Linked DNA regions of Arabidopsis thaliana. The protein of the gene in region 2 interacts with the protein of the main gene of each other region in a pairwise test. Each region holds a gene or a part of one and is shown on either strand. Other genes may lie near its edges. The genes, in order: AT1G09310, PFA-DSP1, ATARD2 and ARD3.

The links.
Region 1: the proteins of PFA-DSP1 (region 2) and AT1G09310 interact in a two-hybrid assay, tested with the Arabidopsis thaliana proteins (one large-scale study listed by BioGRID).
Region 3: the proteins of PFA-DSP1 (region 2) and ATARD2 interact in a two-hybrid assay, tested with the Arabidopsis thaliana proteins (one large-scale study listed by BioGRID).
Region 4: the proteins of PFA-DSP1 (region 2) and ARD3 interact in a two-hybrid assay, tested with the Arabidopsis thaliana proteins (one large-scale study listed by BioGRID).

The regions. Positions count from the first base shown.
Region 1 is NC_003070.9:3,005,196-3,012,159, forward strand, and holds AT1G09310 (plant/protein (Protein of unknown function, DUF538)), read left to right. Parts: upstream 1-3,714; 5' UTR 3,715-3,913; coding exon 3,914-4,453; 3' UTR 4,454-4,703; downstream 4,704-6,964. Other genes in the region: AT1G09300 (Metallopeptidase M24 family protein), read left to right, coding at 1-84, 580-683, 798-864, 946-1,053, 1,417-1,509, 1,804-1,888, 2,095-2,165, 2,491-2,546 and 1 more; AT1G09320 (agenet domain-containing protein), read right to left, coding at 5,075-5,089, 5,235-5,690, 5,823-6,299, 6,428-6,964.
Region 2 is NC_003070.9:1,421,664-1,431,001, forward strand, and holds PFA-DSP1 (Phosphotyrosine protein phosphatases superfamily protein), read left to right. Parts: upstream 1-3,875; 5' UTR 3,876-3,996; coding exon 3,997-4,262; intron 4,263-4,352; coding exon 4,353-4,446; intron 4,447-4,571; coding exon 4,572-4,667; coding exon of another isoform or gene 4,668-4,736; exon of another isoform or gene 4,737-6,235; coding exon 6,236-6,293; intron 6,294-6,407; coding exon 6,408-6,451; intron 6,452-6,544; coding exon 6,545-6,730; 3' UTR 6,731-7,206; downstream 7,207-9,338. Other genes in the region: AT1G05005 (PPR containing protein), read left to right, coding at 7,385-7,598, 7,750-8,207, 8,382-8,393. UniProt on the Arabidopsis thaliana protein: Cleaves the beta-phosphate at the 5-position of soluble inositol pyrophosphates.
Region 3 is NC_003075.7:8,424,203-8,432,189, reverse strand, and holds ATARD2 (RmlC-like cupins superfamily protein), read left to right. Parts: upstream 1-5,718; 5' UTR 5,719-5,829; coding exon of another isoform or gene 5,830-5,847; exon of another isoform or gene 5,848-5,914; 5' UTR 5,915-6,015; coding exon 6,016-6,039; exon of another isoform or gene 6,040-6,177; coding exon 6,178-6,289; intron 6,290-6,364; coding exon 6,365-6,459; intron 6,460-6,645; coding exon 6,646-6,760; intron 6,761-6,837; coding exon 6,838-6,962; intron 6,963-7,042; coding exon of another isoform or gene 7,043-7,045; coding exon 7,046-7,116; intron 7,117-7,229; coding exon 7,230-7,293; 3' UTR 7,294-7,487; downstream 7,488-7,987. Other genes in the region: ARD1 (acireductone dioxygenase 1), read left to right, coding at 323-340, 658-769, 850-944, 1,078-1,192, 1,276-1,400, 1,480-1,550, 1,664-1,706; PPD1 (TIFY domain/Divergent CCT motif family protein), read left to right, coding at 2,665-2,782, 2,926-3,065, 3,165-3,340, 3,806-3,896, 3,985-4,081, 4,448-4,507, 4,699-4,762, 4,828-5,015 and 1 more; ORC1A (origin recognition complex 1), read right to left, coding at 7,525-7,987. UniProt on the Arabidopsis thaliana protein: Catalyzes 2 different reactions between oxygen and the acireductone 1,2-dihydroxy-3-keto-5-methylthiopentene (DHK-MTPene) depending upon the metal bound in the active site.
Region 4 is NC_003071.7:11,229,220-11,237,052, reverse strand, and holds ARD3 (acireductone dioxygenase 3), read left to right. Parts: upstream 1-3,691; 5' UTR 3,692-3,733; coding exon 3,734-3,796; intron 3,797-3,884; coding exon 3,885-3,996; intron 3,997-4,075; coding exon 4,076-4,170; intron 4,171-4,311; coding exon 4,312-4,426; intron 4,427-4,513; coding exon 4,514-4,638; intron 4,639-4,742; coding exon 4,743-4,931; coding exon of another isoform or gene 4,932-4,995; 3' UTR 4,996-5,283; downstream 5,284-7,833. Other genes in the region: Iqd4 (IQ-domain 4), read left to right, coding at 334-402, 518-934, 1,037-1,261, 1,453-1,575, 1,653-2,402; AT2G26390 (Serine protease inhibitor (SERPIN) family protein), read left to right, coding at 6,562-6,942, 7,178-7,833. UniProt on the Arabidopsis thaliana protein: Catalyzes 2 different reactions between oxygen and the acireductone 1,2-dihydroxy-3-keto-5-methylthiopentene (DHK-MTPene) depending upon the metal bound in the active site.

The DNA.
Region 1 (6,964 bases), 1.6 Mb from region 2:
TCAAGTTTAACACATGAGCTGAGGTTAATTAAATCACCTGCAGAACTCAAATTGATGAGAGAGTCTGCATCAATTGCGTGCCAGGTATTCCTGTATTCCAACAAAGCCATTGTTATGCTTAGAAAATTTCTGTTTTTAGCTTTTTTAGTACAACTGAGATGCTAGAGAGTAACTGGAAATTTAAGATGTTGGAGAAATTTACAAGAGATAATGGGGAAAGTTGGTTAAGTTGATAACTTTTGCAGACAATTGTGTGTGTATATAGTGAATTTAATCTCAAGAATTGATCTGACAAAGTGACGAACACACCCATAAAAAGCTCCCAAGCCATGGCCTGATGGGACAATTTTGGTTGAGGGTGTTTTATTGTGATTGGAGGCTCATGAAAGCAATGCCTTGCTCAATGATATGTGAAAGTGAATATATTAGAAATTTTACGTTTGTCTTGTGGCCAAAGTGCTAAGGAAAAGGAACATAGAGCCAATAAAACGTCATGAACCATTTTCTACATATTTGTTGAAAATAATAGCTATTACAGACAATGAGCGTATGGAGTGATTTTGATCTTTTCATCCTCAGGGTCTTCTGAAAACAATGTTACATTCAAAGGGGTTTCCTGATGAAGGCATCTTATCAGCCCAGGTTGAATATGAGTGCCGGGTAAGAGGTGCTCAGCGAATGGCGTAAGTCTCGACAATTATTCCATGAATAAATATGTGATTCAGGGTCTATTACAATAAGTATTTCCTAGTATTCTTATTCTAGTGACAAGAAAAATGACATGATTTATTCCTCAGGTTCAATCCTGTAGTCGGTGGTGGTTCAAATGCCAGTGTTATTCACTATTCACGAAATGATCAGCGTGTAAGTTTGACAAAACCCTATTTGATTGCTAGTACAGAGATGTTCCTGAAACCAGTATCTTCTTTTTATAATTATCTGCAGATTAAAGATGGTGATCTTGTCTTGATGGACATGGGTTGTGAGTTACATGGTTATGTTAGTGATCTTACTCGGACATGGCCACCTTGCGGAAAATTCAGTTCTGTTCAGGTTGATGTTTCTGCTGTCTCATCTTTCATCTTTTTTTGTCTGGTAGTTCAATATTCTTCTGTTTACGTTTGTGCTTTGCCGGTGGTGTTTGTATGATGCAAACGAGAGATAAACCTTACTTACTATCTCATTCTCTACTACCAAACTTCTTACTTTTTTCTGAGATATACGTTTCACAGGCTAGCTTTTTCCTTATAATATTGATTTAGGAAATCTTCAGAATTTGGACATGTGCAGGTTACATAGTTTTTTTTGGTGACCTTCGCTCGATTTCACAATTATGTTACACAGATGAAAAGTAACTGTACAGCTGCTTTCTTAAAACTTTCTCTATCAAAATATTGACATTTGTGTTTTTTCCAGGAAGAGCTATATGATCTTATACTTCAGACAAACAAAGAATGCATAAAACAATGCAAGCCTGGTACAACCATCCGCCAACTAAACACATATTCGGTAATTACAAACTATCTTAAGCCGTGTCTTTGTACTTAAGATGTATCAAACACACAAAATGTACCGTTTACTCTTAACAGGTTTGCTATGATGTGAAAATATTATTCTACTTCTGTCGAAGGCTTGTTAGCAAATATTTCAGAAGCTAAAATGGATCAGAGATTTCATACATACCATTTCGACAAAAAAAAAAAAAAAAAAAAAAAAGATTTCATAAATACCATCAGAAAACTTAAAAGCTTTGTTTGCAAACAAAATTATGTTTGGACTCAGATGATGCTTTGTGGTTTGCAGACCGAGTTGTTGTGTGATGGACTGATGAAGATGGGCATCCTGAAAAGTCGTAGACTGTATCACCAGCTGAATCCGACCTCCATAGGTATGCATTATTGAACCTCGATCACATTAACTTATTTGCAATTTTTGTCGATGAAATACAATCAACTAAGGCTGATTGACGTGTAGATGGTAAAATCCTTGTTATTGTCCCGCATTATGCTGTATAAAAGTTATAATATAACCAAAATATACTGTATGGTTGGGGAAAAACTTATCTAACAGAGCTCTCTTCTGGTTAATAAAAAGGCCACTACCTTGGGATGGATGTGCATGATTCTTCTGCTGTGGGATATGACCGTCCTTTGCAACCTGGTTTTGTAAGTAATACTACTCTCTCGAGTCTTAGTTTTTATAAGCAACCCAAACTCAGGCTAATAAGATCTTCACTTTTCTACATACCCCCTGCCTCAAACACTCTGCTTGTTGATGCTAGTCCATTAAAACCGATATGTGCCCTTAGAATCTTGATCGTAGAAGTTTATGTATTTGTCATGTGATGCCATTGGGGTCCTTACGTTTGAGACAAATGGTTTGATGGTGCTATCAATAGAATCTAAATTACATCAAATGACTGGCTTTGGTGTTTGCTAGATAATGATCTTTCAGACTCTCGATGTCAACTTATGATCGCTGTTTGGACAGGTGATTACGATTGAGCCAGGAGTCTATATTCCATCTTCATTTGACTGCCCTGAAAGGTACACATGCTCTCTTTAGACTAACTTCATGTAAAAGCGTGGTTTTGTAGGAAAGTTTGCAGCCAACAAGTATCAAACTGTGTAGATCTGAGTGGTTTGACTGCAAATCGACCGCAGGATATGACATTGATCTATCGACCATGGTTAAGTGACTTTACTATTGAAATTTCTCATTGCAGATTCCAAGGGATTGGGATAAGGATCGAGGATGACGTACTGATCACTGAGACGGGCTACGAAGTGCTCACAGGGTCAATGCCTAAGGAGATCAAACACATAGAGACATTGTTGAATAATCACTGCCATGATAACTCTGCGCGAACTTCGCCAGTTTCTCTTTGCAAGGTTAAAGGCTTGCATACGAACCGTAACCCAAGAAGATTGTTTTGAATTAAACATCATTGATAATAATTCAAACGTAAACTCCTGTTCCTTGCGTTTGACTCATAGAATGTATCAAAGCATTTTGAAGAAATCTTACGCATTCTGAAGTGTGGAATTTGTAAATAGCAAAACCAAAAGACATCGAGTTACTACGAGAAAGGTCACATATCACAATCAATAAGTTAGGAGTTGGAACACTTATAGTTATGTGAACTTTAGTCTTTATTGGTTATGGTTGCTTTTATGATAGAAGAAATAAATAATGCACTATACAGTAAATAGTATATGTCATCCTTAACACGTAACACTAAACGCCCAAGAAATAGATGTTCTATTCGATTAAAATCATATAAAAAATAATTGAGGAGGCCGTCGGTTACTGGTTAGCAGGTGGAGAGAATGTGAAATGATAGGCACTGCATTTATATGGACGGGGCCATGCACCACATCACAATAATCATCATCATTAATATTGTGATGATGATAGCCATATGAACGATCATGTAAGAGATATATGGTTTAACCCGAAACTGGAACACAGAGCTGACAAGACGTACCCATAAACCTGCCCAACCATGGCCATTAATGATTTTACATGCACCTCATCTTCAAGAATCAAGAGTTTAGATTTTACATTATGGTCTTGTCGGTTTTTTCAAATTTCTTGTAGTAGAAGAACAATCGATCACGTCGTTTTCGATAGTGATGTTTTTTACCGTTATTTTATAATAGGGTTGGTCTCAATTTGATACCAAAACTAATAAATTTGCCAAAATTGTATGAAGTCAAAGGTATCTTCTCAATCCGAGTGTATTTCACATACAATTTAATTTCTAAACATGGTGGCATTCTCCGTAATAAGATCAGGAAACCAAGGGCAAACCCACAACACGTCAGCTATATATCACTAGGCTAAGTCCCTTACCTCTCCACAACACAACTTCAGCTTTAAGACAGCTAAAACTAAATACAAAGAAACAGAGATGGGTTTGGTTACAGAGGAGGTGAGAGCTAAGGCAGAGATGTACACCGGAGATGAGATATGTAGAGAGAAGACAAAGTGTTTCCTCAAGGAAATATCTATGCCCAATGGTTTATTACCATTGAAGGATATAGAAGAGGTTGGGTATGACAGAGAGTCAGGTGTTGTATGGCTGAAGCAGAAGAAGAGCATCACTCACAAGTTCACAGAGATAGATAAGCTTGTCTCCTATGGAACCGAAGTCACAGCCATTGTTGAGACCGGGAAAATCAAGAAGCTCACTGGAGTCAAAGCCAAGGAACTTCTTATTTGGGTCACTATCAATGAGATCTATACCGAGGAACCCCCTACCAAGATCACGTTCAAGACACCGACCACACTGTCCAGGACTTTCCCGGTCACAGCTTTTATAGTCCCAGAAGAACCTGCCAAGGAGGAACCTGCCAAAGAGGAACCTGCCAAGGAGAAGAGCAGCGAAGCCACCGAGGCCAAGGAGGCTGTTGCAATCAAGGAGGCTGTCGCAGTCAAAGAGGCGGCCTAATCAGCTCAGCTTCAGCAGATAAAAGAGACCCGAATTTTTAAGTGTACTTCAAGAATTTGAACAAATCATGGAGAGTTAGTGTTTCTCACTGCTCTAACTATCATGTATTATCTACCTACCACTTGTTGCTGCTTGTTTTACCTGTAATAAGATATCAATATCATCCTGTTCCACTAAAACTTATCCTTAATTATCTATAAACTACAATACAGCTGGTTCTGTATGTCACTTCAAAAACATGGGAAACCTCTTCGCAAGCAAAACTGAGAGCATACACTCCTAACATTCATAAGATGCTAAACTTCGTAGGTAATATGGCCTACCTCTTTCGAAAAATATTTGACAATAGGATGGATAATCAACAAGGCAAGGAAGTAGTGTTACAGCAAAAACTTGTCTATCAAATAATCAACCGAAATCAGGAGCAATGAGAATCGCACTATGTCATGGAACAAGAATAAAATATCAACTGGTTGTTGCATCTTAGTCACTCATCATAACTGCAATTATCTACAATAGCAAGGGAACACCAGGGTTAAGACTAACTGACTAAGAGATACAAGTACCTCAAAGAAAAACAAAACTTGAAATCCCAAAATCCTGACGAGTTATCCAGCCCATTTACACCTTCTGAGACTGAAATCAAAATTAATGACAGCAACTTCATCAGTAAAAGCTTGATGAAAAATGACTATTGCAGGAACGATGCTGAAACCTTAGATATAAGGGGAAATAACGAAGTTATATGTGATAAAATGAGTTGATCGTTTTAGAACCATACCTTAAAAGATGTTATCCACTTTCCATCAATCCATTCCTGATGTAGCCTTAGTTGAGAGTGATGAAATTTTAGCAGCTCTTGAGTATTTTTAAAGAGAACCAGGTAAGATGACTTTGCAAGAACCTTTCTAATCACCCCAACCCACCATCCATCATTATACAAAGCATTAACTTTGTCATGCCTCTCAAATGGACTAACCATGACACTCTCTAGTGGCAGAGGCCTTATCCGTGAAACATTAACCTCTTCTCTCAAAGGCTCTTTCCCATCTTCAGCTTTCAGATTATCATATTCTACAAGGCATTTGTCCTTTCCTCTGTATTCAATAAGTTTTGCAAGAAACCAAGAATCTTCAAATCCTTCTTCCTCAGGGCTAACCTCGATCGGAGTTCCAATGCTGAACGCTTGCTTCTCAGTTGCTTTCTTGGGTCTCACGTTCCGGTTACATGAAACAGTCTACACATCAAAATAAAAACTTTAAACACACATATTTGGGGAAGAATATGTCGCACATAAAGAAGAATGGGATAAGAATGATCTATGTGAACTTGTCTAGAGTTCATAATTAATATGGAAATCATACAGAACCTTTTCCCTCTTTATCTTCCCTCCTTTCAGTGGTAGCTGCCAGGTCCCGTCAACCCAATCTTTATGCAGACGAAGCCCCTGCCTTCCAAACCGCATCTTCTCTTGTGATTGCCTAAAATATATACCAACCGTTCCATGCTTCATACCATCTATGACAACACCTACCCACCAGCCGTCATTGTAAAATGCATTAATCTTGTCACCAACAGCAAAATCAATATCCTCATCCCTTGGTGGTGGCGGCCTTATGTGCAGAAAATCGGTTTCTTCTTTCAAAGGCTCTATACCATCTTTTTCTCTCAAGTCTCGGTACTCAACAAGAAATTTGTCTTCGCCAACGGGTTCAACAACTTTAGCTGCAAACCAACACCCCTGGAAACCTTCCTCATCGCTGCTAACCTCGACAACAGTGCCACTGGAAAACATTTGTTTCGCGATTGCTCTGGTAGTTTCTAGATCCACTCGGGCTAAAATATCCTGCATTTTATTACTATCATGATTAAAGTGCATTCTCATAAATTGCTCTAGAAGAACTAAAGCAAAAGTCTCCACTAAACAACTTCCACAGAAAGGTTATCAAGTATCATTGAGAATGTGTTACCTACCTCCTCGTCTTCTGAGTCGTCTAATTTGTCTTCCTCTGATTCATCTTCCTCTTCTTCTGTTTCCTCTAATGGAGGCTTCCAAGCTCCATCAACCCATTCCCTATGAAACCGTAACTCATCTTTCCTAAACCGAATCTGTTCCTTAGAGCTCCTAAAGAAAACACTGAATTTCCCATCATCCAGAACCTCAGTCACATCCCCTTCCCACCAACCGTCATTGTAAAACGCGTCGACCTCTTCCCCAACCACGATCTTCTTCTTCTTCTCTATCTCAGACATTGGCGGGGCCGGAGGACGAAGCTGACTCATGTCGACAACTTCCTTCAGTGGCTTCGTCCCCTCTTTATCGAAGAAGAGCGTCGTATACTCGACTTGGCATTTAACGGAATCCTTATCTGAGGAAGATGGGATGGTGATTACTTTTCCCATGTACCACGAGCCGCGGAATCCAATCTCGTCGGAGCTGATTTCTACGGCGGAGCCAGGTTTGAGGTAAGAAGGGAGACGCTTTCGATTCGCTCTCGTAGCCATGGAATT
Region 2 (9,338 bases):
ATCCATTTAATGCTAAATAATACAGAAATGTAGTAAATTTTCTTCCTTGTTTTTTTTGTTTTACACAGACACTCACTGAGATATTTCCAGAGGAAAAATTTCGGATCTTTGTTTTTTGTTTTTGCCCTTTTTTTTCTCCTCCGATGTCTCTGTGTGAAAAGGAAGAAAATTAATTAACCGTGTTTTTAAAAAATAAAAATGAATACTCCTCGTGTACAAGATAATAAATTTGATGTACCTGAGATGACAATATTACCCCTGCTTGGTCTGGTCTGATATCTTCAATGTGACGGTTCATTGTGAACCTAGCTAGACCTTGGCAGCTTGGCTCTTTTTCAAGTTTTAACCATCGGTTTTCCAGAGAATAATACTGAATTACCTACTGACTATACAATTTTCTTGTAATGAAAATATATGATTTTACTAAATAAAAATAAAATATCATCCAGATAGGGGTAAAAGGGTAAAATAGTCAGAACAATGTAATTCTTCTGGCACAAGAAATCTTATGCTTCGCAGTTTGTAAAGTGGTTGGGACCCACCGGTAGAAAAAGGGACAGAATCGGAGGTTACGATTCGCTGGTCACTGGAGCAGCGTAAGAGCTGTGATCTTTAGACGTCAGTATTACGCCACGTTAGCTTACGAGGTAGTGATCCTCTGCTCTGATGACCACCTATGTTCTTTTCCGTGATTTTGACGCTTTTCTCTTCTACTGGTTTGACCGTTCCAAATACTTTTTATTACACGTCAACAACATATTAAACAAAAAAAAGTAAAATGGATTCGGCTTTTTGTTATTTTTCTTTTGACTCTCCCCTTTAATTAGTTTCCTATGACTTCAAGTTTCCGTCTCCTACTAGATTAAGGTAATGTATGTGGAAAGGGTTTTTATAAAGTATGAATTTTGGACTCTGTATAAAAATGGAATTCCTGTGATTTTAAAATGAAATTAGAGTTATGTACATGCGCATTGATGGTGTATTTCCCTATTAGCCCTAAGAACGATCGTTCGTTAATTATACAATTAATCATTTATTGTTGAAGAGACAGAAACAACATCCAAGAGAGAGTCCAAAGGACGGATCCATTACAAAGACATGTGCAAGAGATTTTCTTAGTCTCGTACTCCTTTCGGTCGGTTTCTCCAACAAATGGGCCTTGGCAACAGGTAAAATAATACTATTGGGTCTGTTTTGTAAAATCTTACGTTTTCTGAAATGGAGGATGTTGATACCTTTACAATGGGCCTAAGGTCCCATAAATTGGGCTTTAAAGGGCCTCTTTTTGATACTTCCTTTTTTCATTTTATGTCTTGATGTTCGAAATCTTCTATGTAAACAAATTTTTTTTGGTTTTAATGTCAAGAGAATATGTGTGTGTGAACAATTTATAATGACCATGTTACATTTTCGTCTCGTATGTTTAAAATTCTTGTTTTTATTTGAAGTTTTCACATAATTATTTGAGGGAAATATTAAATGATCTTTTTGCAACTCTAATAAAACGTTAGTAAGTGGCATGCTAAATATATAAATGATAATACACCAAGAAAATTGAAAGTGAGCTAAATATATCATTCCTAACAAATAGTTGATAAATTCTCAAGTTGATATATTGTACTAGATATTAGTCATAAATAGAACCTAACTATGAACCAATAATAGGTCTACAAATGTGGGGCCAGAGACAAGAGAAGAAGTCACGACTTTGAATCTTGATGATCATGGATGAATGGATATCATGCATGAAAAAATTAAAATTTCTATGATATGGAAAAACGACAATAATGGACGAAATCTTTGTACGTCAAAATCGGAGACTTAGATCGTTAGATGCATGCAACTAATTAACAACTCCAATAACTTCAATTGAAAATGTGCGTATACTCACTCTCATGAACGGTCTTCTCGTATTGTTAATTCACTGTAATCCTTTTGCGTTTTGATACGCAACTTCGGAATGGGCAACGGTATAGCGAGGCTTACGTATGCTTTGGAAAAACATTAATTCATATATTAATGTTTTATATTCCGTGAGAAAATTTCAATGTTTTGGAAAATTAGAACAAATTAGAACAAATTCTCGAAAGATAAATTGAAGGCATTATGATATTTTCGTACGTTCTTTTTACGGAAAGTTCTTTAACGGCATCCAAAACGCTTTCGTACGTGGCCGAGTGCTCGCGGCGCAATAATCCTTGAGAATCATAAGGTATATTCCCTGGAATGTACCTTTTTTGTTTTTCTTATAAAAAAACTATCTGGTGCATTTTGTTTTTATGGAGTAATTTATCCAATTAAAGTCCAGTGTGGGACACTAAACATTACAAATTTTATGTCTTTAGCTTAGTTATCATCTGTTTTTTTTTAATTAGAAAAGAGTAGTTTTCTGGTGTGAGTGTTATGTGGAAGACAAATATGTGACGTGGATTCTAATAATGTATTGTCGTGATGTGGTTCTTTTTGCATTATTTCGTTTTGATTATGTAATAGACATATATTTAAATGGTGCGATTATGCACCGAAGAAAAACATTCGTCTCCATTTTTCTTTATACGAAATTTGACCCCAAAAAAAAGGTAAAACACGGCGTCCGTGTTATTATGTAGTATCATGTATGACAGAAATGGCAACTACAGTAGATAGTTTGGACCGAATTTTATTTTCACACAATTAAATAGTTATTTCAAGGCAGTAACAAATTGGTGGAAAAAAAAAAAAAAAAGGCAGTAACAAATATTAAAACCGAATATTGGCTAAAATTATACATTTCAAAACAATATTATGAAATTGTTTAACAAAACAAAATGTGAAAGGAACATAGAAGTAATTAATGTACTCAGATTACGATCCCATAGAACTTAAATAAAGGTGCGTTTATGAATGCCAGATGACTCAGATTAGTGATTGTTCTTCCCACTTAGCAGAGTAATTGCTCTTTGTCCTTTGGAATCTCTCTCTCTCTTTTTATTTCTCTGTGTTTCGCTTGGAATCTATATTTTCGCTATTTCCTGGAATGATGATATATATGTATGTTAGTATGTAGTAGTCAATATTTTTGTATATTGTGAATAAGTGACTTTTTCAAGGTAAATATAGGTCAGAAACTTCAAATTCAAAATATTAAATATTATAATATTGGTGAAAATATATAGTCAAAAAATGATTTTAGGTTCGGTTGATAATTTATTCAATGAGAGTGATTTACCCGAATAAGATGATTGTGTGTGAGCAAAAAGATTCCACAATGATGCCAATTTAAGCTTCAACAAGTGCTTTCCTATTAACAAGAACAATTTATGTAATATCATTTTTTTCGTTTGTTTTGCAAAACTGCAAAGTCATTTTATTTTGTTTACTTTAATAATCCTTGAAAATGTTATAACAGTTATTTCCTCAAATTAGACCATCATACTATTATTATTGTTATTATCAACCGTTGATAAAAATGGTAGTAGCATGTACAACTAAGATAGACCGTTACAAAATTCGTGTATTGTTAATTATTATATAGTTTCCGTATGTTGCTGTTTTCAGCTCAACTTGAGTAAATATAAAATATTAAACTGTTTATTCTAATATTGGATTCTTTTGTGTAGTGGCAACTTATTTTTTTCTAAGCTTTTTTTTTTTACAGATTACGGATTTCAGTATGAAATTGTAGATCCAATCAACTATTTTCACATATGCTAAAAGGTATCTAAAAAGTAAAAACACTTAACAGATTATAAACAAAAAAGCTTTTAAGATAAATGTCACAAATTCTTTAAAAATAAACAAATAAACAGCTATTGACAAACAAAAAATAAAAATAAAAAAGGAGTCCTTGCTGGGTCCATCTCCTTTGCGTTCTTTTTCGTCTGTTGAATTTTGAACAGAGTCACAAGTCTCTCTCCATATAAACCTCCCCAAGGTCGACGCTACGTAACGACCATCTCCATTACTCGACTCTCCTCACCTAAAGATTCAACCTTTTCTCTGTTTCCCAATTCAGAGATGAAGCTTGTGGAGAAGACGACTACTACAGAGCAGGACAATGGAGAAGATTTCTGCCGCACCATCATCGAGGTTTCCGAGGTTAACAGAAACGTGTTTCAGGCTCCGGGCGGTGAAGCTGATCCCTTTCGAGTTGTCTCCGGCGAAGAACTTCACCTAATTCCGCCGCTCAACTTCTCCATGGTCGATAACGGTATATTCCGGTCTGGATTCCCTGATTCAGCTAACTTCTCCTTTCTCCAGACTCTCGGTCTCCGCTCAATCATGTAAAAGCTCCTTCCACATTCATGACATTTTGTATACTATATATCAAACTTTCGAAATTGCTGATTTTAGGTTTTTTCGAATTTGTGAAGATACTTGTGCCCGGAGCCCTACCCAGAGAGCAATCTCCAGTTCCTTAAATCCAATGGAATCAGGCTTTTCCAGTTTGGTATTGAAGGCAACAAGGTAACCATCTTTCTTCTCCTCTCTCTTCATCAAGTCTCCGTTTTTAATTGCTCTGTAATTCTAAACCTTACTTGGATAGTTCACTAGGAGAATTCTCTGAATGGAAAAATCATATCTTGCTGCAGTGTGTTCCTGACTTAGACAACGAGATTTCCTTGCATTTATGGAATTCTAAGCATCAGAAACAGGGTCCCTTAACTAATGGACTTTCGAAAACTTTGGTACACACTACATATATTAACTGGAACACGATACTATTTCTGGAATATATCATAGTTCATTCAATTTGAAGGGTTTTATTTGCTTGATATTTATTGCCTAATTGTTCTTGAAAATCCTGTCTCATTGTTGTTTACTTTAGACTACTAAAACTGTTTCTGTGTTTTCTTTCTCTTGAATTTGATCCTTCATGGGCACTCTGTTCCAAGCCATATTTTATTATTATGAGTTTACCAGAAAAAGAACACATCTTTCTTTATTGTTTTGCCTCTTTGGCTCTTTCCGTCTCTCTTGACCTCCACTGATTTGGTCCCACTCTTTGTTTTTCTGCCCCTTCAGCAACTATTCCCCACTTGTTCTTTCTACTCTCTATTTATAAAATTAGATTATGGACTACGTCAAAATATTTGCTGAGCTACTTGTTGCTAGTGTTGTCAATGATCCCACTACTCAATAGCTTACTTTCTGTTGTTATTGTTTTCTTGGTTCATGTTTATTGAGTGTGCACTTTTTTATACAGATATGATATCTTATGAAATCATACATCAGCGAAAGTGTTTTTGATTGTGTACAAGTAAACCGTTTTTTATGGTAAAAACTTGTAGAAAGCGTGTTGATCGTGAAAGTGTCCATATTAGCTGTAAGGTTTGAAATCTAGATAAGGTTAGGAATTGCTGGGAAAATGATAGATGGTTACGTTGTAAGTCGGTTAATGTTGTTTAATACGTACCTTTAGTTCCTTTCCTTTTCTATGTGTTAGTGGCTCATGTTTGGGCAAATCGTTGGTAAAGTGATAGAATAACCAAAAACTTCACCATAGAGTCTTGAACTTATTACCCTCATGAGTTACCATTCGCCTTTCCTGAAGAGATGGGTATGAATCTAATTTGAGTTGATATGTTTGAAAGAAAATATGTTTGTTCTGGTATGCAGTAGCTATCATTCTCTCCCCCCACAGAATCCACCTTTTCCCTGTCGATTCTACTCCTAGGATAGTCGATTCTTTATGTGGGGAGTCGTTTAGATACTTACTACCATAGTTCCCTAGTTTTGCTTTTACACTAAAGATGAAAATAAAGTGGCTTTCTCTTCTTGGTGTAGTGATTTTATTGGAAGAATCTGGATCTCATTGACTTTTGTTTTTGTTTCTGGACTCAGATTCTTTATAATTAGTGTGACAACTTCGATCTTGATAGGAAACCTTTATCGCTGATATTCTTGGCTTGCTATGCTTTTTTCTTCTCATAGATTCGTCTTTCAATGGGACTTTGTGTTTATTCCGTGTTGTTGTTGTTGTGTGTGGAGATAACTTTTTGATATAAAAAAGTAAAGAATCTTTCTCTCAGTACGCAACCAGTAAAAGGTATCACATTAGACATGCTTCATAACTTGTAGACTTTGTCCTGTTAATGAACCTTTGCATGGTTGTCTCTCTCGACGTTGCTTGTGCATGAACCTTGATTATTAGATTGCTTTATCTTTTCCTAATCTGCTCAATTTAGTAGTGTGATTGATCTTTTGACATATAATCTTACAATTTTAAAAAGACATTTTTTCTTCTTATTTTCAGGAGCCATTTGTGAATATTCCAGACCATAAAATCCGCATGGCACTGAAAGTGCTTCTAGGTAACTATGAATCATATAGAAGCGCTGAAATAAAAGAACACATGTAACCACACTTTTTGTATGCTTTCTAATTCTAACTTGGTTTATTAACAACTCTCCTTTTAAAATCCTCAGATGAGAAAAACCATCCTGTTCTGATTCATTGTAAGCGAGGCAAGGTAAATCATTCACTCCAATCCTAAACATTTCATCTTTTGTCTCCACCACTGAAGAAGAAAATGAGTTTCTAAGTATGAATCTGGAATTTGCAGCATCGGACCGGTTGTCTTGTTGGTTGCTTGAGGAAGCTCCAGAAATGGTGTTTGACATCGATATTCGACGAGTACCAACGATTTGCAGCAGCGAAAGCTAGAGTTTCAGATCAAAGATTCATGGAGATATTCGATGTTTCCAGCTTCAGTCATATTCCAATGTCATTCTCTTGTTCCATCAGGTAAACAGGGGAAGCTAAAATCTTCAGATAAAAAGGAGAGATTAATCATATTAGAGTTCCAGAGGAAACATTCTTCTCTTTCTTTACCTTTCTCTGGAATCAATAATACTATTTCGAGAAAAGAAAAGGTTTTCGTTGTTATAATGACTTCACTCTGTTTTTTTACTGCTCAGTGTAAGCATAAAGGTAGATAATTACGTATATATATAAAGTAAACTATACAGGAGTTTGTTTAGGAATATATGTATTTTCTTGGGTTATCCCGAATGTTGCTTAACGATTATTAGCTCATATATTTCAATTCTTCAGAACATGATTTGTTATTATCGTGTGTAGAGGAAAATGCTACTACCATCAGTGTGTAAATAATTTGTTCAATGTAATGCTAAACCGAAATATATGGACTAATTTGATTTACTGACCAATCATTAACATAACTCTATAACTTCTTTTTTGAATCAGTTACGGAATTAATCATTATTTTTATTAGTTGAAAAAGACATGCTAGATGTGTGAAGAGTTTGTTAAGTCACGAATATGAAACCTAACTAAGGCCAGTACCAATTTTTAGCTATAAGTGAGTGATAGTTGTCCTTATAGGTCACGAATACGAAACACTCTACTGGAGTGTTGTTAATCATTTACTTTAATAAAAAGCATGACACCGATTCTTCAACAACATGCAAAGCGCATTCTTGCTTGCGGCTACAAGAGTTCTTTGTTCCGTTCCTATGCAACCTTATGGTCACCCGAGGCTAGCCAAACTCTGCTTATTCGGGTCAAAGCGTCTTTGCAGCAACATGAGAAACAATTGTACACCAGAGGGCTCATAAGAATCTTCGAGATTCGGATCGATTTTCTCAAAAACGCGAGTTTTTTTTATTTCTTCTAAATCCTGATCTTCAACCTATGTACCAATTTGTGGTTTCTTACATATTATGTGCTCTTGGTTGTGGTATTATTAGGCATCAAGATATATGGGTAAAGAAAAGGTGTGTACTCTGTTTCAGAAAGATTATGCAGCTCGGCTTTATCTGATTGAGACACTGTTGGGTTTAGAAGAAGCAGACAAGTTCTTCAAAAGTATCCCTTCAAACATGATTGATTACTCCACGCTCTTAACCTCTTACGCGAGATCTGACGATGTGAAACCCGACAATGTCACTGCAAACACTGTTTTGAAGGCCGATGTAAAGGCGATAAAGATGTTTATGAGAATGTGGGTTGATGAAGAAGGAATCAAACTGGAGAGAGACAGGATAGTTGAAATGGCAAAGGTTTACGTTAGAGTTTGTTTAGAGATATATGGTAACGTGGTATGGAATGCAAGAGAGTTGCTGCAAACTCTTTGGGATGACTTTAAGAAGTGCGAAGAGGTGTATCGAACAGCGGTTATCTCTTTGTCGAAACTGGATGATGTTGAAGGTGCAGAGGATATATATGGAGAGGGGGAAAAAAAAGAACAGAACGTAAGGGAACAGGTTACCAAAAAGGCAATGATGCTGTTACATGTTTTGAATCTGCTCTTGATCTTGATCACTTTGAGCCTTCCTTTTTTTGTTTGTCCTCCGAATTTGAGCATTCCTCTGGTTGTTTTGAGTGTTATTTTGACGCACATTAGTATTACTAGGCTTCTTAGATTTGTATTCTTTTAGGAAAAAGAATAATGCACTAAATTGTTCTTTGGTAATTAAGTGATGTTCTTCTAGACATGAAATGAAAAAAAAAAACAGAAGTTTACAAAAACAAAACCACTTTATAGATTAAACAAACAAAATTATGTCGCTTTTTTAGCCACACCACTTTTTCCATAGTGATTGGAAAGAAAAAGGACTCGAGTTGGAACTGGCCAAAAAGGCAAGGATGGTGTTAAATCTATAGCTGTCAAATGGTCCGTCCAGGGACCATTGGGCGTGTCCGTATGGACAGTTTTTTTTATGGGCCAAGTTGGACGGTCCATAATGGACAATGGGCCGAAAAATGTTCATGCCCAATAAAGACCATGTCCATATGGGCAAGCCCATGTATAGCCCATTTTATTATTGATAAATCAAAAATCATGATTTTAAAGAATTGTGTTTTTGCATTTTGCATTTTTCCGACAAAACGGTAAAATTGTGTTTTTCTTACCAATACAATAAAATCACGATTTTGCCGGAAAAATTATGAAATTGTTTTTTTCCGCCAAAACGGTAGAATCGTAATATTGTTTTTTCCCGCCAAAACGGAGAATTGTGTTTTCTCACCAAAACTGTAAAATTGTGTTTTTCGCCAATATAATAAAATCACGATTTTGGCAGAAAAATTACGTTTTCCCGCCAAAACCGTAAAATCGGAGAATTGCGTTTTTCCGTCGAAACTGTAAAATTGTGTTCTCGCCAATATAATAAAATCGCGTTTTAGAGGAAATTTGCGGAATTACGTTTTTCCGTCAAAATCGTAAAATCGGAGAATTGTATTTTTCCCTCAATTCATGCCCATGGGCAGCCCATTGTCCATATGGTCAAGCCCATATTATCCGCGGACAAAACTGGTCATATGCCCAATTGGACCATTTGTTTTATAGTCCAGAATATAGCCTGTCCATATGCATTTGGACTGGGCAAGCCCAT
Region 3 (7,987 bases), on a different chromosome or scaffold from region 2:
GATGTGGCGGTTTGTATTATGTAAATGCTTGTCTTATAATGAGAGAGACCTTATTGATGATACCAATCTTTGAGGTCCAAGTAACACAACTTCTTTGTGATTGATATGTATGAGATAATTAATTTGTCTATTTTCATGGCATGATGTATGTGATATGTCTGAGATTTGCAACATTCTTCTATAAAGTTGAGAAATAAGGGTAGTTTAGTCTTTTTAACCAAAGATTTTTATTTATTTGATCTTTTCCCTGTTTTAAAAAGAAGAATCGAGTAATCGGGTGGTTTTGAAGACGAAGAAGGACTAAGACATCACGAGGAACACGATGGGTGAAGCGGTCAAGGTATGTTTTTATCTTTGTCTCCTCTGCTTCTGATCTGTTAATGCCAATCGATAATTCCTAGTTTTGCGATGCAAGCATGAATCGTCGATTGTTATCTGAGTGATTTGATTCATTTTCGACGATTTTCGAATCATCATAACTACTTCTTTTGCTCAAATCTCGCAGTCAGTTTAATGCCTATTCGTATTCAATTTAGTTATGCAATTGACGATTTCTCGAATTGTCTGAAGTTTTGAAGCTAAAATCAGATTAAATATAAAATATCTGAACATTGCCTCCCAAGGAATCTAATCCCATCTTGATGTGCTTTTGCTTAGGATGGGAGAGAAGAAGTGATTCAAGCTTGGTATATGGATGATAGTGAAGAGGATCAGAGACTTCCTCACCACAAGGATCCTAAAGAGTTTGTATCGTTGGACAAACTTGCAGGTCCCCCTCTTTGTGTGTTTCAATTCAATGTTGTTCTCTCTGCTTCTCTATTTTGTTTCACATGTAATGTTTGTGTGCAGAGCTGGGAGTACTTAGCTGGAGACTTGATGCTGATAACTATGAAACCGATGAGGATTTGAAAAAGATCCGTGAATCTCGTGGTTACTCTTACATGGTTTGTGGTCTTTATTTATTTACTATCCCACTAGACTTGAATGGTAGATGTTTATTTTTGTCCAAGTCTTATTTTAACTCTCTAGGGGTTTTCTCAATCTTGGTTTGATGATTAAAAAGTGTTCAAAATGCAGGACTTTTGTGAGGTATGCCCGGAAAAGCTTCCAAACTATGAAGTGAAAGTGAAGAGCTTTTTCGAAGAACATTTACACACTGATGAGGAGATCCGTTACTGCGTTGCAGGAACTGGTAAGAACTTCTTTTACTGGCGGCTTTACTCGTAAACTTAAAATTTCGATATAGTAGTCATGTTTTATTTTCTTGGGAAAAAGGTTACTTTGATGTGAGAGATCGTAATGAAGCTTGGATTAGGGTATTGGTAAAGAAGGGAGGTATGATAGTCTTACCTGCTGGGATCTATCATCGCTTCACTGTGGACTCTGACAACTATATCAAGGTGCAATGTCAGCTTTTCTTCTAGCCATTTATTTTATAGTTTGGGCTTGCTTAGAAAATTGAAATATCTTGTTGAACAGGCAATGCGGCTATTCGTGGGTGAACCGGTATGGACACCATACAATCGCCCACACGACCATCTTCCTGCAAGGTACAATGTCCTGGGTTTTCCCCTTTTGTTTGTTCTCTTATGCAAACAATGGGATATATAATCAAGCAAGAAATTCTGTTATTTTACGAGAAATAAATTCTGATATTTTACAGGAAAGAATATGTCGATAACTTCATGATCAATGCCTCGGCTTAGAGAGCTTCCTCTCTCTATATCTGGCTTTCTGAAACAAGGATCTATAAACAAGGCCTACAATAAAGAAAGCTTTCCTGTCAAGTATTGGATATTTATATGTATTCCTGTGTAGAATGATGGCTTTTGGTATGCTTGAGTTGTTGTAAACTTAGTTACACTCTCTGATATGTCTCTCTTTACCATCTTTGTCGTATCCCATATACGAAAAGATTACATTGGGATTCATATTGTCTTACGTTCGTTCCTATGTGCAATATGTTGAGTTTTTACACAAATCTCTATTCTTTTTTATTTGCTTTTCAAAAACCAACAAATTAGAAGAAACTAATAAGAAGTAATACGTCCAACCGCGTCAACTTCTTTGGTTTAATCTAAACCATGGTTCGTTTGGTTGTTGTTGTGTATCTTAACATGCTGACGGTTTTAAGGATGGTTCGTTTGGTGGTTGTTGTTATCGAACATGTTCACGGTTCTAAGGAAGAAAAGTGTGGTTTTGTGTATTTGTGGTTGGACATAAGATTTTCGTTTTCGTTTACATTTGTGGCTTTCTTTTGTAATTTCCTTTTAGAGTTTGGAATCTCCTTAAATCCGACCTACATTAACTCTATAGTCTATAGAATTGGAGTAATCATTTTATTCTCCTATCTTAATGGATTACAATAAACAGTAGTTGAATGGAAGAAAAAGGGGATATAAAAGTAAACTTAGCAAGTTTAGCAGCCATGATTAGGCTTATAATAATTTATGTAGACGTGGAGCTTACGTGGCAGTCTAGGGAGTTTCCCTGCTCCGGGAACAATTCCCCCAAATTGACTCCCCCATAGGAAAAACTATTCGACCTCACTCTCTCTCGCCACTGTTCCGCTCTCTCTCATTCTTCCTAATTTTACCCCCAAAACCTCCGATTATTACTGAAACGCCACTGCTCTCTCGCCGGGATTCCGGTGAAGAGGAGGAGATGGATGTCGGAGTTTCACCGGCGAAGTCTATACTTGCGAAACCTCTGAAGCTACTCACTGAAGAGGACATTTCTCAGCTCACTCGCGAAGACTGCCGCAAATTCCTCAAAGACAAAGGTTTCTTCTTCTTCTACCTTTCTCCATAGTCTTGTTTCCTTCTCCGATTTGCAGCGGAAGTCAAATTTTGAAATTCTCTACTCTGTCGGAGCTTTTTTTTGCTTGTTTATTCTGAGAATGGAGGCTGACACATGTCGAAATAGGAATGCGAAGACCGTCGTGGAACAAATCTCAGGCGATCCAGCAAGTTTTATCTCTTAAAGCTCTCTATGAGCCTGGAGACGATTCCGGCGCCGGTATCTTCCGCAAGATCCTCGTTTCTCAGCCAGTAAATCCGCCTCGCGTGAGATATTTACTTCGATTTTGCTTCTATTTCTCGTTTAAACTCACAGATTGAAAAAAGTGAAAATCTAAGTTGCCTTGTTTGTTCTGATATCTACAGGTCACAACAACGTTGATTGAGCCAAGCAACGAGCTGGAAGCTTGTGGCCGGGTTTCTTATCCGGAAGATAACGGCGCGTGCCATAGAATGGATTCTCCAAGATCAGCTGAGTTTTCCGGTGGGTCTGGTCACTTTGTATCCGAGAAAGATGGCCACAAGACGACTATTTCTCCCAGGTTTACATTTTCGTATTTGAATTTTTTTTGATACCTTTCTGCTTCTATGCATCTGGAACTGGAATGTTGTTTAATTCAAGAAAAGTGTAATGCATTGCATTATTAAGTTTGTGATATTAGGAAGTTTTTGGTTCAATATCACATCCTTAGAGACAGAATCTATATATGGTTCAAGGCATTGATGGTGGATTTGTCAGATAGTATTTAGGTTGGCCACGATCGTGTGATCGAAGATCATCTTCGTTATGTCTTAGTATCCTGGATCTCTTTAGAAATGGAAAATAATAGTCAATATGACTGATGTGACTTGAAATAATAATTAGTTACTTGAATTCCTTAATGATATTTTGTAAGTTAGAGGGTTTTTTCCCTAGTCCATCTACGAAAGCTTAAGAAAAGGTTTTGCTGCATGTGCCTGTTGTTCTACAAGCATATTAAACATTCTTGTCTGTAATCTTGCATCAGAAGCCCAGCTGAAACAAGTGAGCTCGTTGGGCAAATGACGATATTCTATAGTGGAAAAGTGAATGTGTATGATGGAATACCACCTGAAAAGGTAAATCAATAACATTATTCTGTCCAGTCTGAAAATAGAAATTTTGTTGGCATGTTTTTGATCATTCATCCTTTGTATTGGTTTGCAGGCCCGGTCAATCATGCACTTTGCAGCCAATCCAATTGATTTGCCTGAAAACGGTATTTTTGCTTCCAGTAGAATGATTTCAAAGCTCATAAGTAAAGGTAAGCTTTTGCTAAAGTGTCTGATCTGTTTTTCAGTTGATAGATAGATGATTCAAACATGAAATGATTTTGTTTTGTGTATCATCAAACTGGAAAAAGTTCATGGACCAGCTTTTCTGACGCAGTAGAGCTTTTTTATTTATTTTCTCTTCTTGCAAACACTGCTTTTGTTTTGTCCAACTTTGAAAGGAGGCATGGGTAGTTGACCAAGGAAGTATGTCTAAATGTTGCATTGTGCTATACTACCTTGCGTAAAATATCCAAATGCCTCTTGCATGTTTTTGTGATAGTGATTCCACTTTCCTTCTTCAGAGTCTAGTTTGAATTAGTCAAAAATCAAATTGAAAATGTGAAATCTTATTGCAGAGAAGATGATGGAACTTCCCCAAAAAGGCCTTGAGAAGGCGAATTCTTCTCGTGATTCTGGTATGAACAGTATTCATATTACCTTAATGATTCTCGGAGCGAAACTTGATCAACACATCTTCACCTGTGCAAAGCTATGCTAATGTTGTTAACTTGGAGGAAACTTGGCTTGCTTGTTGTTCTGCATGTTATATGACCTGTGAAGTTTATTAATCTAACCGTCGTTCTATGTTTTTTGGGTCGTTCTTAAGGTATGGAGGGCCAGGCGAACAGAAAGGTATCTTTGCAAAGATATCGTGAAAAGCGGAAAGACAGGTGCATTTATATACTTACGCTTATTCCAAAATCGCTATAAACTGATATGTTTTCGTAATGTGCAGAAAATTCTCAAAGGCCAAAAAGTGTCCAGGAGTTGCGTCCTCTAGCTTGGAGATGTTTCTGAATTGTCAGCCACGGATGAAAGCTGCATATTCGCAAAACCTAGGCTGCACCGGATCTCCACTGCATAGCCAGTCACCTGAAAGCCAGACAAAAAGTCCCAATCTTTCAGTTGATCTAAACAGTGAAGGTAAGAAGAGAATCATATATAAAGCTTTGTTAAATCAGTGGTTTGGATGATTTCCCTCATAACTCTCCTCGCTTGGTCTCCAGGCATTTAACAAGATACCGAAACGTGGAGATGCTATAAGCTGTGAATAGGCGTTGAAACAGTTGCTTGCTTGTAAGCTCAAAGATATGAAGAAAAGAAACCTCTCTTCGGATCGGCCTTCTTTTGTGTTTCCGGGGTTTTGCACCCATAATTTTTGGTCTATAGTTTTGAGTAGAGCTTAGTAGGTTAGTGGTAATTTCTTGTTTCTGATTCTTTTTGTGAGGATATAGTCACAGAGAGTAGAGACAAGAGAGGTGAAAGAAGGGCTTTCATTTTCTAGGTGTTGTAATGTGTAAATGATGTCTTACTTGACACTTTTAACGAGAGAGACCTTTTAGCCAAAGTGTTTCTTACTCTCGACTCGAGTCTTACTTTGACACCACCAAACTTCTCTTCTTTTGTCCATTTTTAACCCAGTTTTTAACTTTTAACTTTGTTAACTTTTTTACAATAATTACCACTCTAACTAACGTATTTACATTTTCTCAAACCTCAAAAATGTGATAAATAGTCTGAAACGGATATATGTGGAGGCGGCATTTCCCTCGCCGCACGCCGGCGGATGGAGGGTAGTTTAGTCTTTTAACCTTTTTCTCTGTTTTTGTCCCAAAAGATAAAACGAAAATGACTTCTTTTGAAAAGGAGAGAAGGCATATATCGCGTGGATTTGAAGACGAAGAGGAATCATAAAAAGCCTAACGAAGAAGACGAAGAAGAAGAGGAACAAACAACCATGGGTGAAGTGGTTAAGGTAATCGTAAATCTCTTGCTTCTGATTCTGATTTCGTGAAAGCTCATCGGAAAATTTCTTGTTTCAGCTATGAAAACATGAATCGCCGCCGATTGTTAATTAAGTGGTCTTCAATCACTGATCACTATTCCAATTTTGATTTTTGTTTTATTTTAATCATCAAATTTGATGTTTTCTAGTTTCACTTGTTGTGTATGAAATTCAGGCTTTGTCTTGGAGGTTGCAATCGAAAATTTCACTAATTGCTGAACGTTTTTTGTTTCTCTTTCAAGCTTAGCATCATAAATTTATGTTTTCTTGTTGTGTTTGTGTATGTGTGTTTTTGCTTAGGATGGAAGAGAAGAAGTGATCCAGGCATGGTATATGGATGATAGCGAAGAGGATCAGAGACTTCCTCACCACAAGGATCCTAAGGAGTTTCTATCTTTGGACAAACTTGCAGGTCTCTTTGTGTGTTTCAATTCAGTGTTCTTCTCTCTGTTTCTCTATTTGTTTCAGATGTAATGTTTGTGTGCAGAGCTGGGAGTACTTAGCTGGAGACTTGATGCTGATAACTATGAAACCGATGAGGATTTGAAAAAGATCCGCGAATCTCGTGGTTACTCTTACATGGTTTGTTTATATAGACTTGAATGCTAGATGTTTACTTTTGAACAAGTCTTGTTTTAACTCTCTAGGGTTTTACTCAATTGTAACACTTACTCTACTGAATGTATTTAGGAAAATTCGTTGATGATTTGCAAATTGTTTTATGTGCTTGAGTCTTGGTTTGATGATGGAAAAGTGTTCAAAATGCAGGACTTTTGTGAGGTATGCCCGGAAAAGCTTCCAAACTATGAAGTGAAAGTGAAGAGCTTTTTCGAAGAACATTTGCACACTGATGAAGAGATCCGTTACTGCGTTGCAGGAAGCGGTAAGTACTTTTATTGGCTGCTTTACTTGATTTAAGTCGGTATCTATATTCTCAACGTTTCATTTTCTTGGGAAAAGGTTACTTTGATGTGAGGGATCGCAATGAAGCTTGGATTAGAGTATGGGTAAAGAAGGGAGGTATGATAGTCTTACCTGCTGGAATATATCATCGCTTCACCGTAGACTCAGACAACTATATCAAGGTGCAATGTTAGCTTCTTCAGAGTGGTTAATTCATCATATATATATTTGGTTGATTAGAAAATTGAAATATCTTGTTGAGCAGGCAATGCGGCTTTTCGTGGGTGAACCGGTCTGGACACCATACAATCGCCCACACGACCACCTCCCTGCAAGGTACAATGTTCTGTTTTCCCCTTTTGTCTCATCAAAAACTTACTCTGCAAAAGTTCATCCAAGAAAAGACACGAGAAAAGCTGTTTATGGATATCGAAACGGCTATTTTACAGGAAAGAGTACATCGATAATTTCGTGAAGGTGAATGAAGGTGGTGTCATAGACGCGTCAGCCTAGAGGATTCTCAGTCTTATGCATCAGATTTCTATAAACTAAGCATACAATAAAGAGAGCTTTCTGTCTCATGTTGGATATTATGTCATCTACAGATCCACTTGTGAAGAAACTTTGATTCGTGTGGCTTTGGCATTATGGTTGTGTTGTAACTGTATTTATAGTTTATACTCCAGAAATCAAACTGTGTTACATTATCAATCTCTCCAAAGTTTTCCTTAAACTAGCAAAAAATCACAAGTAATTGGCCAACCATGGAAGATCCTTATTGTCTTTCAATGCAAAAGCAACATCATCACTTGGAAAATTAAGCTGCAGCTTCTGCAATCTGTGCTTCTCTCCAGGTTCACAAAGAACGATTCTGCATTCACCAAGATCACAACCGATTTTGAGAAGAATGTCCCAACCGGGAAAAGCTTCACCATTGGTTAAGCAAATAGACGATACTGTTGTTGCTACTCTGTCAAAGCTTGTCTCTGCCATTCCTGTTTTGTAAAGCTCATGAACCATAGCCGTCAAGAAGATCCTACTCAGTTTCGATACACTCTTCATAACTTGAATATGAGGTGCCTGAAACATCTCTTGAATGGCTACTTCAACATCTGCCATAATCACCAGCTGACTCTTTGCAGATATGTTACTCTTCTTTAGACGGTAATCCGCTACTTCCGCTGCACGCCTGCATATCTCAAGCGCG
Region 4 (7,833 bases), on a different chromosome or scaffold from region 2:
AAAAGCTGTAATTCTAAAAACCACAACACCAGAAATATTAAAAAAAAAAAAAAAGATAAAAATAACATATAGAAAGAACAACTAAGCAGAGAATGAAAATAAAAAAAAACAACTAAAAAGAAGTTATAATTTATAACGTATCTGTCGTTAAATCTGTTGAATCGTTCTTACAAAACACAATCGTTACAAAAGTCAATTGGGTTCCCACGAATCGGTGGGGCCCATCACGACGAGGTCTCTTCACATAATCTCATCTCTTCTTATTGATTTCACATAAAGTGTTTTGTAAGAAAATGTTTCAATGAAAGATTTGTCTGAAAATTTCAGGAGAAAATGGGTAAGAACTGGTTAACATGTGTCTCCGTGGCTTGTTTATCTCCAGGGAAAGACAAAAAGAATCAAGTTGGTGTTTCGAATCTGTTCTCTAATTATTGATTATGATTATGTAACCTGATTATGAAATCAAGATTGCTAATTGTTTTGATTTTGGTCTTTTGGTTTTGCCTTGTTTATCAAGAAACCCGAGAAACCGAAGAGGAAATGGTCGTTTGGGAAACAAAAGAGTAGAGAATCTTTTGATTTCCCTCTGGAGGAGACTCCACCGGTTGACCCTTCACCTTCTTCTGTTCATCGTCCATATCCACCGCCTCCCCCGTTGCCGGATTTTGCTCCTCAGCCGTTGTTACCACCACCGTCTCCACCTCCTCCTCCTCCGGCATATACCATCAATACAAGAATCTATGGTGAGTCTAAAGAATCAAAGAATAGACAAGCTTTAGCTCTTGCATCGGCTGTTGCAGCCGAAGCAGCTGTGGTAGCTGCACATGCTGCCGCGGAGGTTATACGTCTCACGACCCCATCAACACCTCAAATTGAGGAATCAAAGGAGGAAACTGCCGCAATCAAGATCCAAAATGCGTATAGATGTTACACGGTATACAAAAAAATCACTTTTTTTTTTTTGGACAAAATACAAAAAAAATCACTAATTCCTCTTATTATGAAAGACTTAGTCTAATATTTTGAAATTTCATAGGCGAGACGCACTCTTCGTGCGCTGCGAGGAATGGCTAGACTCAAAAGTTTGCTGCAAGGAAAATACGTCAAAAGACAAATGAATGCGATGCTTAGCTCAATGCAAACTCTTACACGTTTACAAACACAGATTCAAGAGAGGAGGAATCGGTTATCTGCAGAGAACAAAACTCGTCACAGGCTGATCCAACAGAAGGGTCACCAGAAAGAAAACCATCAGAATTTGGTAAATCTCGTTACATTTTTTGTTGAATGAATGTAAAATTTATTCAACCATGTTTACAATATATGCAACCGTTCATCTAAAAATATGACAAAATTTAAAAAGAGTCATCCCATTGTTATGTGGTAAAATCTCCCTACATTTTACCACACTGGGTGAACCAAAATTCTGAACTGGAGCATATTTTGTTGTAGGTTACCGCGGGAAATTTTGATTCCAGCAATAAATCAAAGGAACAGATCGTGGCAAGGTCGGTGAATCGAAAAGAAGCTTCAGTAAGACGAGAAAGGGCATTGGCGTATGCTTACAGTCATCAGGTAAATATAAATTAAAGACAACATCATTGTGAACTTAGTCATAGTTGTTTATATATTGATGTTGGAAAATAAAACAGCAAACATGGAGAAACTCTTCAAAACTTCCACATCAGACTTTGATGGACACAAACACAACAGATTGGGGTTGGAGTTGGCTTGAGAGGTGGATGGCTTCTCGTCCGTGGGATGCTGAATCCATTGACGATCAAGTTTCCGTTAAAAGTTCTCTTAAACGCGAAAACTCGATCAAGAGTTCTCCTGCCAGATCTAAAACACAAAAGTCAGCTAGCCAAAGTTCTATTCAATGGCCTGTAAACAATGATACAAAGAGTAGAAAGATCGAGGTTACTAATCGCAGGCACAGTATCGGTGGTGGATCATCTGAAAACGCTAAAGATGATGAAAGCGTTGGTAGCTCATCCTCGCGCAGAAATTCGTTGGATAATACACAAACTGTGAAATCCAAGGTTAGTGTGGAAACAACAAGCAACGTGAGTAATGCACAAACTGTGAAACCCAAGGCTAATGTGGGAGCAAAAAGAAACTTGGATAACACGAAAACTTTGAAATCCAAGTCTAGTGTGGGAACAACAGGAAACTTGGCCAACACGGAAGCTGTGAAATCTAAGGTTAATGTCGGAACAACAAGTATGCCAAAGAAGGAGGTTGTTGCTGATAAGAAGAAACCTCCACAGATGGTATTGCCAAAGAAGAGGCTTTCATCTTCTACTTCTCTTGGGAAAACAAAGAAATTGTCGGATTCGGATAAAGCAACAACTGGTGTTGCAAATGGAGAGAAGAAGAGAAGAAATGGTGGTAGCAGTTAACCTAAAGTAATAGCCTTATCTAGACCAAGATATTGCTTTGGTGGCGGTTTGATAGATTTAGCATCTCAAATGTGAGATTTGTTTTCTATCAACGCAAATAGAAAAGAGAAAGAAAAAACAAAAAAACAAAGAGTGTATTTTGAAGACCTTATTTTGATTGTTTTCTTTGGGTGAGTACAAATGATGTATGTCTGTTTCGGTTTGGTGTTTATCTGGTGGATTATTTGTTTACATTTTTTAAAAATTTAAACCATTTATTTCGCGTTAATGTTTGAAAATAGTCGTTGAAATCGATTCAAAATGACATATGCAATGGTTACAAAAAGTAAACGAGAGTCTACGTGAACTGGAGCTGGTTTGTGACAAAGTTTGTTATCAATTTAAGAGTTTGTTAAAACCAAAAAAAAAAAACAAGACATTGTATCGGGATTGTAAAAATTTGGATTGTGGAGCTCTCAATGAATATGTACAATTGAGTCTATTGCTGGATTACGTTCTGGCCGAGACATATCAATCAATCAGACAGGTTGCTATGAATTAGTAAACTTCATGTAGTGGATCATTCTTCCTCTTTCTCTGTAATTTGTCCGTAATAACATCATCAAACTCAAGTTTCTCAAAGTTAATTTTAATTCAATTAATAACTTCGAATATCACACATATATGATTCATGCCGTTAATATTTTTCTTAGCATGGTCTTACTGAAAATAAAATTTAAATATTACTATGAAAAATTATATAAATCACAAAACTAGTTTGGTTTTCTTTTGTGTAGAAAAGATTATCGGAAATAATTTCATGTTTATTTATTTATTTTTACATCAAAATTTTAAAATAGAAACACAATTTTCCATTAAAAAAATTCATAAGATTCCAATGAGCTTCCAAAGTAATTTTTTTGGAAGCCTATATAGTCTTAGATTTTGATAATATTTATGAAAAAAAAGCTAATTCTGAAGTACACTGAAACAAATAACAAATACATGACGCTTCCATTTTTATTTTTTTCTAACATGAAGCTTCCTTACACGTAGAAAGTTAAGTACATCGAAACAAATACCAAAGACCTGAGAAAGTGGATAGAAGTCTTATTATTAAGAACAATAATTGATAAGAACAAAGCATCTTATTATTTAACAAATGCAAATAGAGTAAATAGAAGTCGTGAGACTTCGTGACGTCATCACTTCTTCGTCATCTCCTTGACACTTCGTGACGTCCTTGTCTTCTCGATAAAGGTGCCTAAGAAATGGAAAGAGTGGTTTTGTGTTCTTACTTTACATTTTTGCACACAGAAAAATGCTAGCGGTTTCCTTTTTTATCTATATAAATGGTTTCTTTCTTTCTTCATTTTGAACACAAAAGAAGAATAACCATGGGTGAAGCCGCTAAGGTAATATAAACTCTTCCTTCTTGATTTAGGATCTATTCCCATTTACTTTAGAAGTGTTTTTGCTTAGCATCAGATTGATGTTTTCTAGGATCAAACTGAAGAAGTGATTCAAGCTTGGTACTTGGATAATAAGGAAGAGGATCAGAAACTTCCTCACCACAAGGATCCTAAGGAATTTGTATCTTTGGACAAACTTGCAGGTCTGTGTGTATCTTCATTGTTGCACATACTTTTATTCTTTCACGTAGGTTAATAATGTTTTTTTTTTTTTTTGTTCAGAGCTTGGAGTACTTTGCTGGAGACTTGATGCTGATAACTATGAAACCGATGAGGAATTGAAAAGGATCCGCGAATCTCGTGGTTACTCCTACATGGTTTGTGACATTTATTTGATGCCTTTTTTTAATATCTTCCTTTGTTTGGTCTTTTTTTTTAACAAAAAATAAATCTTCGTTTGTTAGTTGATTATTAAATATTCGTTTTTGATTCGCAAACATTTGGATGTTTGGTTTTAGGACTTATGTGAGGTGTGTCCAGAGAAGCTTCCAAACTATGAAGAAAAAGTAAAGATGTTTTTTGAAGAACATTTACATATTGATGAAGAGATCCGTTACTGCCTCGCAGGAAGTGGTAGGTACTTTTATTCGCTGCTTTAGTACTTAAATAAATTCGATATGGTGCTCATTTATTTTATTTTTTCTTAAAAACAAATCAAAGGATACTTTGATGTGAGGGATCTCAATGATATTTGGATTAGAGTATGGGTAAAGAAGGGAGGTTTGATAGTCTTCCCTGCTGGAATATATCATCGCTTCACCGTGGACTCGGACAACTATATGAAGGTTCAATCTTAGCTTCTTCTAGTTATTAATTCATACTATATGAAGGTTCAAGTAATATATTTTTGGTTGCTTAGAAAATTGGAATTTTCTTATATATTGAACAGGCAATGCGTCTTTTCGTGGGTGGACCAGTGTGGACTGCTTATAATCGCCCACATGACCATCTTCCTGCAAGGTACAATGATGTCTTGTTCTCCCATATTGTCACGACAAAGCTTACTAGATCTGTAGTTATATATCTAAGCAAAGAGGCGACAAAAGTGTTTATGTATATTCAAACGGCTATTTTATAGGAAAGCGTATATGAAAAAATTCTTGAAGGTGATTGGGGACCGTAACATAGACGCTTCAGCGTAAAGAACTCTCGGGGATCAGATTTCTATAAGCTAAACATATGTTTAGATGTTGTCTTTAATTATGCTTTATTATGTTTACAACATGGAAACCGAAGACATTTTGGTTCATGTGTCTTTTGGCATTATTGTTGTGATTGTAATGTAAAGAAGAAGGAAAATGACAATATATGAAAGCAAGAAAATATATAAAACTATCGGTCACTATTAGTCTCAACCTACTGGTGTCTATGCATAATACATGATATACATCCGTTACTGTAAATAAATAAAATGATTATTTGAATTGAACACATTACTTATGGAGTATCCATAATCTCATGTTTTTAGAATTTGTACCCAATGATAAATAAAATCAAACAAAAGAATTTCTAGTCTTTTGTTATATTCTTGCCTCTTGGTGACTAAGAAATCGATACATTTAACTAAAAAAAAAAAAGATAAAAAAGAAGAAGAAGAAATCGATACATGTACACATCAAGTATATGTCTTGTTATTTTCCAGTTCATGTTTACTCCCTCTGTTCCTAAAAAAATAATGTTTTGGGTTTTTCACACAAATTAAAAAATGTAACTTTAATATTATTTTTATTACTTTTCTATTAATCTAATAATATAAATTTTACTTCTCTTTTCTCTCTATTGGTTACTAATAAAAATAATAATAATATTAACCTACAACATCAAACTTGATGAAACAAAAATAAAACTCAAAACATCAAACTTTATAGAACAGAGGGAGTATAAGATTTGGCTGCTTCAGACATTCATCTCAACCTTTTTCTCTTTCTTTTCTTTTCTTTTCACATGCACGTTAGTATATATTGTGGTGTAAAGTGTAAACTTTCGCTAGGAAATCACGTTCTCTAGCAATGATTTGGTTTTAAAAACATTGTTTTCCCCCTCTAATAAGATTATTACTCTGTTTTTTTATTTTGTTTCTCTTTGATATAAGAGTCGGAATCCACCAATCCAATTGACAGACGGTTCCAAAATATACATGTAGGAGACACCAAAGCAAGAAAGATTTATGTTCAAATGAGCTAATTAACATAGAAATATATTTTAAACTGAAAAAGATAGCTCATTGGAGTTTTATTTAAGTGCTAGAAAGTAAAGAAAAAGGAAATTTACTTTAGAGAATAGCCAAGCTATGATAGATTCCTAGATTGAGATATAAAATGATGAAAAAGAGAGTTGTTCCAAATGGCAACTCCCAGAGTTATAAAATCGATTTGGAACAATTGGTTTATGCATATGCCTTATGGGTAAAAGGATGAAAAAGAGAGTTGTTCCAAGTAAATTGACCCATAAGGCATAAATTAACCAAACTTCAAGACCTAGTTTATAGTTAATGCCAAGTACTTCCAACGAAGTCCATGATACGACTTTTCCACACGCGGTACTTTATTACTTCTAAATCATTTCGATTGAATAATTCATGTGCAGAAAATATATTTAAAACAAAAAATAGCTACTAGTATACTTGAAACAAGCTATTTCATCAATCATCACATCTGCATATTCAGAACCATTCTTATATCTTCCCGTACACCTCTTCTTGGAAAAAAATGGAGTTAGGAAAATCAATTGAGAACCAAAACAACGTCGTGGCAAGACTAGCAAAGAAAGTCATTGAAACAGATGTCGCCAATGGCTCCAATGTTGTCTTTTCACCGATGTCAATCAACGTTTTGCTCAGCCTCATCGCCGCTGGTTCTAATCCCGTCACCAAAGAAGAAATCCTCTCATTCCTCATGTCACCGTCTACGGATCACCTTAACGCGGTCTTGGCCAAGATCGCGGACGGCGGCACCGAGAGAAGTGATTTGTGCTTATCTACGGCTCACGGTGTCTGGATCGACAAGTCTTCTTATTTGAAGCCTTCCTTTAAAGAGCTTTTGGAGAATTCCTACAAGGCTTCTTGTAGTCAAGTTGACTTCGCAACCAAGGTAACTTTTTTCGTTAGGGATAAATTTTGCTTCAATTATTATGGGACCGAAACTTAGACTAATCCCTATAACATAGATATATAAAGGTGAATGTTCGTGTTATTTAAGACGTTTAATGTGGTTACGAAGGAGACGGCTATATCACATTCTCTTTTTTTATTTCTTCAATTTCTTGTGTATATATGACATCCAACTTCACTAATGATTGGTCAATTTTTATCGCTTGGTCATGAAGCCTGTTGAAGTGATTGATGAGGTAAATATATGGGCTGACGTCCACACAAATGGACTCATCAAGCAGATTCTTTCACGCGATTGTACCGATACTATCAAGGAGATCCGTAATAGCACACTTATTCTAGCAAATGCAGTGTACTTCAAAGCAGCATGGAGTAGAAAATTTGATGCAAAACTAACAAAAGATAACGATTTTCATCTTCTTGACGGTAACACGGTAAAAGTCCCCTTCATGATGAGTTATAAGGACCAATATCTAAGAGGCTATGATGGTTTCCAAGTTTTGCGCCTACCTTATGTAGAGGATAAACGTCATTTCTCCATGTACATTTATCTTCCTAATGACAAAGACGGACTAGCTGCTCTGCTTGAGAAAATAAGCACTGAACCAGGATTTCTTGATAGCCATATTCCACTTCACCGTACACCAGTCGATGCTTTGAGAATTCCGAAGTTGAACTTCTCTTTTGAGTTTAAAGCTTCAGAAGTTTTGAAAGACATGGGGCTTACTTCTCCATTTACTTCCAAAGGTAATTTAACTGAGATGGTTGATTCGCCTTCGAACGGTGATAAACTGCACGTCTCAAGCATTATTCATAAAGCTTGCATTGAGGTGGATGAAGAGGGAACCGAAGCTGCAGCGGTCTCTGTTGC